Saccharomyces cerevisiae S288C: one gene and its partner. The gene in region 1 interacts genetically with each later gene. Each region holds a gene or a part of one and is shown in the gene's direction. Other genes may lie near its edges.

The links. Genes that interact genetically often act in the same process or in processes that back each other up.
Region 2: mutations in AYR1 (region 1) and RTS2 together harm fitness more than expected from each alone (negative genetic interaction), as found in Saccharomyces cerevisiae (one large-scale study listed by BioGRID).

Annotation. Positions count from the first base shown.
Region 1 is NC_001141.2:124,511-127,740, forward strand, and holds AYR1 (acylglycerone-phosphate reductase), read left to right. Parts: upstream 1-1,693; coding exon 1,694-2,587; downstream 2,588-3,230. Other genes in the region: alpha-ketoglutarate dehydrogenase KGD1, read left to right, coding at 1-1,223. UniProt on the Saccharomyces cerevisiae protein: Can convert acyl and alkyl dihydroxyacetone-phosphate (DHAP) into glycerolipids and ether lipids, respectively. Required for the biosynthesis of phosphatidic acid via the DHAP pathway, where it reduces 1-acyl DHAP to lysophosphatidic acid (LPA).
Region 2 is NC_001147.6:469,978-473,097, forward strand, and holds RTS2 (Rts2p), read left to right. Parts: upstream 1-1,921; coding exon 1,922-2,620; downstream 2,621-3,120. Other genes in the region: SKI7 (Ski7p), read right to left, coding at 1-1,643; BUD21 (Bud21p), read left to right, coding at 2,748-3,120.

The DNA of each region.
Region 1 (3,230 bases):
CTTTGAAAGAACTAGGTAAGGTACTCTCTTCGTGGCCAGAAGGTTTTGAAGTGCACAAAAATCTAAAGAGAATTTTGAAAAATAGAGGAAAATCTATTGAGACAGGTGAAGGCATCGATTGGGCCACCGGTGAAGCATTAGCGTTCGGTACATTGGTTTTGGATGGTCAGAACGTTAGGGTTTCCGGTGAAGATGTAGAAAGAGGTACATTTTCTCAACGTCATGCAGTCTTGCATGACCAACAATCTGAAGCCATTTACACACCGCTAAGCACTCTGAATAATGAAAAGGCAGACTTCACCATTGCAAATTCCTCGTTATCTGAGTACGGTGTAATGGGTTTCGAATATGGTTATTCGCTAACCTCCCCAGATTATCTAGTCATGTGGGAGGCTCAATTCGGTGACTTTGCAAATACAGCACAGGTTATTATTGACCAATTTATTGCCGGTGGTGAACAAAAATGGAAGCAACGCTCTGGTTTAGTTTTGTCTTTACCCCATGGTTATGATGGCCAGGGGCCAGAACATTCGTCTGGTAGATTGGAAAGATTCTTGCAACTAGCCAATGAAGACCCAAGATATTTCCCATCTGAAGAAAAGCTACAGAGACAACATCAGGATTGTAATTTCCAGGTTGTTTATCCAACTACGCCTGCTAATTTATTCCACATTCTAAGGAGACAGCAACATCGTCAATTCCGTAAACCATTGGCGTTATTCTTTTCTAAACAGCTGCTGCGTCACCCATTGGCCAGATCATCTCTTTCCGAATTCACTGAAGGCGGATTCCAATGGATTATCGAAGATATTGAACATGGAAAAAGTATTGGTACGAAAGAGGAAACCAAGAGATTAGTTTTGCTGAGTGGCCAAGTGTACACTGCCCTACATAAAAGACGTGAAAGTTTGGGTGATAAGACCACTGCTTTCTTAAAGATTGAACAGCTGCACCCATTCCCATTTGCTCAGCTACGTGATTCATTAAATTCTTATCCAAACTTGGAAGAAATTGTTTGGTGCCAGGAAGAGCCATTGAACATGGGTTCGTGGGCATACACAGAACCACGCTTACACACAACATTAAAAGAAACGGATAAATATAAGGATTTCAAGGTCAGATACTGTGGTAGAAACCCAAGTGGTGCTGTTGCTGCCGGTAGCAAATCACTACATTTGGCCGAAGAAGATGCCTTTTTGAAAGATGTTTTCCAACAATCCTAAAGATGAATTCAAATATGAAAAACATGAAAATACAGCCATATAAACACGTAATATTTTTACCTTAATGTTTATGGACAGCCTTTTTACTTGAAGAATGATCTAACAAATATTTTTTTTGATACATTCACATTTTTTTTTTGTTCATGATGTTAGCATCTGCTTAGTCTTTTTAAAATTATTTAATTTAACGTTTTATTTATGTGAACCTTTTTTTATTAGTTGTATTTACTATTTATTCAAGAATCATTCTTTACTTTATATTGATATCGTTTTTTTCCCCCTACTTCCTCCTCTGGTGTATTCACAGCTAGGTGCTTCTCTTGTCCTCATCCGGTGGAGAAAAAAAGTGAAAAATAAGTCAATGGAAAGGGGGAAGGGGGTAGGTAAATAGAGTGAATAAGTTTTATTCATCATGCCCAACTTCTATTAATATATACTCAATTCAAATATTGATCAGGATTTCAAAGAGTATGTCGGAGTTACAGTCACAACCTAAAAAGATTGCCGTTGTTACAGGCGCCTCAGGTGGTATTGGATATGAGGTAACGAAGGAATTAGCCAGAAATGGCTATTTGGTTTATGCATGTGCAAGAAGACTAGAACCAATGGCACAATTGGCCATCCAATTTGGTAACGATAGTATCAAACCATATAAGTTGGATATTTCCAAGCCAGAAGAAATTGTAACATTTTCTGGTTTTTTGCGAGCTAATTTACCTGATGGTAAATTAGATTTATTGTACAACAATGCCGGTCAGAGTTGTACATTCCCTGCATTGGATGCAACAGATGCTGCAGTAGAACAATGCTTTAAGGTCAATGTGTTTGGTCATATCAACATGTGCCGTGAATTGTCGGAGTTCCTTATTAAAGCGAAAGGAACCATTGTCTTCACTGGTTCCTTGGCAGGAGTTGTGTCATTCCCCTTTGGTAGCATTTATTCCGCTTCTAAAGCTGCTATCCACCAATATGCTCGTGGGTTACATCTAGAGATGAAGCCCTTCAACGTGAGAGTGATTAACGCTATTACTGGCGGTGTGGCTACTGATATCGCTGATAAAAGGCCCTTGCCTGAAACCTCAATATACAACTTCCCTGAAGGTAGGGAAGCTTTTAATTCAAGAAAAACCATGGCTAAGGACAATAAGCCCATGCCAGCTGATGCGTACGCAAAGCAACTGGTTAAAGATATCTTGAGCACTAGTGACCCTGTAGATGTTTATAGAGGAACGTTCGCCAACATCATGCGTTTTGTCATGATATTTGTTCCTTACTGGCTATTGGAAAAAGGACTTTCCAAAAAATTTAAATTGGACAAAGTTAATAATGCTTTGAAGTCGAAACAGAAGAATAAGGACGATTAGTGTTTCACCATCGTCAATAGCTACCTATATTTATATACAAGATTCCGTATAGTTTGTACACCACGTCAGGACATCAATAGCTAATAATCGTTCTAATGCTAATGTTCAACTGCTCTTTAAGTATTGTTTACGTCTCGTCGTACCAGTATGCCAAATTCCTGTCACTTCACTCATTCTCTTTGCTCTTACCGTTTGAAACGCGCTGGGACGGAATTCGCTCATTTCGCATCGTGCTTTGTTGTTTTTTTTTTTTCAAAATTGCCATTGTTTATTTATAAACTACATGAAATTATTCTGTATTTATCTTCGCATTCCCTCTCTTACTTCAAAAGTGAGAACAGCATATTCAAATATATATATCTACTCAGTTGAATAAGACACTATAGCAAGACCATTTGAACTGAAAGAAACAGTTTCTTTGCTCCCCTCTCGAATTCCAACTATTTACAGTCCTTCCTTTATAAAAATTAACTAGCGAGCAAGAAAACATTTGTTTAGTGCTACCCAACTACTTACATTCCTTTAAAAACCACAATATTTAAGTTAACCTGAGCTTTATTTTTAGTAAGTTATTTACCACAATTTTTCTCATACACCTTTACAATCCGTATTGCCATGAATACCAAGGCTTGCTCAGCTTCTG
Region 2 (3,120 bases), on another chromosome or scaffold:
AGTGACACGTAATTTATCTCCGCTATCGGTTGAAGAACAGAAGATTGCAGTATTGTGCCTACAAATGGCTCTTCCAAAGTTGTTTCTATTTTGTTCATATTATGCTCTACCAATAGATATAGTTGCGAAAAAAATGTCGGACCTTCATACCATTCGGGAACATAATTTATAGAGTCAAATTCTGACTTATACTTAGATTTTGTGATGTTTTCAGTTTTATTCAAATTCGAACCTAATAAACCCGAACACGGGATAAATTGGAATTCTGCGTCTGTCCACTGAAAGTTTTCCTTCAACACATAATTTAGCTCAGACTGAATCATTTCTAGTCGGTGCTTATCCCAACTAATTAGATCTGCCTTATTCAAAAGAATTATCAAGTGCTTTTTGCATGCGGAATTCTTGTTCAAATAAGAGATCACTTTTAAAATTTCATAAATCTGATTATTTGGACCATCTAATGATTTTTCCCACGAGTCATAATTGCAATCAATAACCAATACATAAACTTCAGGATCAAAGGTCAAAATTGAGTTCAGAGTTTCTTTATTGAAGTATTTGATACTACCAGGAGTGTCTATAAGCGTCAAGGTTGATGATGGCGGTAGTAAATCATTTTCTACCTGAATAACTTTCTTAAACATGGAAAATCCATTTTCTCTTTCTGTTTTGGTATTGTCTAGAATGACCTTAAAACTATTTGAAGATGAAGGATCCAAATTACTGCTTTTTTTTTGTAGTTCCCTCATTGATGACATAGAAATTTCGTTTAGATCATATAAAAGATGACCAAGCAAAGTGGATTTGCCTGCGTTTGTATCACCGAGGAACAAACATGTCAAATTCAGAGGATGGGTGGCAATGAATGAATGAATATCAATCGACTCAGTAGGTGGTGTTTGAAGGTTAATTGGTTCCTTTTTTTCGGCCTTGGGCACAGATTTGATATTTAAGTTTTCTAATTTTTCATTGAAAGCATTAAGTTGGGCCGATTGTATTATATCATCAGGACTTGGTCTATTGAAATTCTCAATGGCTACTTTACGAGTTGTTTTCGGCAGGTTACAAGGCACAAAAATACCAAGGAGCTCATTGTTATGCTTTTTTAAGGACAGAAATGATGAATTCTGCGACGATAGCGGTATTGATGTACTCAACGAGTTTTTTTTATCTTTTATGATAAAGTTTGTGAACGCAAAATCGTCGGTTTGATTTATGCATGGATCGTTTTTCAAGAAACAGTAATGGTTCATTTCTTTAATAGCCTTCCATGACTCTTCTAAGTTGAGTTTATCATCAGGCGATTTCCTTTTGGTAGGGAGTTCGTTTTCTTTGCTGTCTAATGTCACTGATTTTCCTTGTTTCTCCAAATCACTATTTGACTTCTTTAAGGCAGACAACTTTAAACTCAATGAAACACTATGCTGGTTCGGGGTAAAGTCGCTTCTTTTTACCTTGTCTTTTGCAAGTAGCGTCTTCAGATCCTTCCTTTTTGTCTCAGCATTGTTATCTTTAGTTTCTCTATTCTTATGTAGTCTTTCTAGTAAGGATGCACTTTTCGATGTACTATGAGACTGGTCCGCACTTAAAAGGCCTTTAGATTTTTCTATTCTTTTTCTTGCTAATTGCTCTAATAACGACATGTCAGGTGGTACTGTAAGTTTCGAAGACCACCTCCTCGTACGTGTATTGTAGAAGGGTCTCTAGGTTTATACCTCCAATCTGTTATAGTACATATTATAGTACACCAATGTAAATCTGGTCCGGGTTACACAACACTTTGTCCTGTACTTTGAAAACTGGAAAAACTCCGCTAGTTGAAATTAATATCAAATGGAAAAGTCAGTATCATCATTCTTTTCTTGACAAGTCCTAAAAAGAGCGAAAACACAGGGTTGTTTGATTGTAGAAAATCACAGCGATGGCAGATTATGATAGTGCGAAATATTGGTCCAAGCAGGGAGCTCGTCGTGGGTTACAGAAAACCCGTTACTACTGCCAAATATGCCAAAGGCAATGTAAAGATGCAAACGGATTTCAATCACATAACAAATCGCCATCTCATTTAAGGAAGATTAGTCAAGTGACAGCTGAGGACGCTAGGCGCTACAATATCCAGTTTGAAAAGGGATTTCTACAGTTATTGAAGCAGCGGCACGGAGAAAAATGGATTGATGCTAACAAAGTATACAACGAGTATGTTCAAGATCGCGATCATGTACATATGAATGCCACCATGCATCGTTCTTTGACGCAGTTTGTCCGGTACCTAGGCCGCGCGGGCAAGGTAGACGTGGATATGGATATTGATGATACATCTGAGAACGTTGAAGGTCCTTTGCTTATCAGGATCCATCCCTCATCTTTATCATCACCTTCTGAAGATGGAATGCTGCGAAGTCAACAAGAGGAGCAAGAAGTCATAGCCGCCGAGCTTTTGAAAAGACAACTCAATCGTGCTAAGCGACAAACTGAAAAGGTATATCAACCAGAGATGAAATCGGAAATTAGCGGGGATAGCACTCTGAAACGTGTTCAAGTCACCTTCCACGGGAATGGTCGGGTAAATAAAAAGAAAAAGAAGGTTCCTCCACGGAAAGATGGTATCAAGTTCCGTTGATTGAAAATTTTTCTTTTCAAGCGATGAGGTTAGCGAAGTTGTTCGAACAAGCCCAAATATGTTTAGAAGGCAGTACGAATTGATACCCTGAACTGTTACTACCCGTATACACGTATTAAGTAAGACAATGAGTAATGGACACGTCAAGTTTGATGCCGATGAAAGTCAAGCCAGCGCAAGTGCTGTCACGGATAGACAAGATGATGTGCTGGTAATATCAAAAAAGGACAAGGAAGTGCATTCAAGTAGTGATGAGGAAAGTGATGATGATGATGCTCCACAAGAAGAAGGGCTTCACTCTGGGAAAAGTGAGGTAGAATCACAGATCACTCAGAGGGAGGAGGCTATAAGGCTGGAACAATCACAATTGCGGTCCAAGAGAAGGAAGCAAAATGAATTATACGCCAAGCAAAAGAAATCAGTGAATGAGACAGAGGTCACTGATGAAGTAATTGCGGAGCTTCCTGAGGAATTGCTAAAAAATATAGATCAGAAGGACG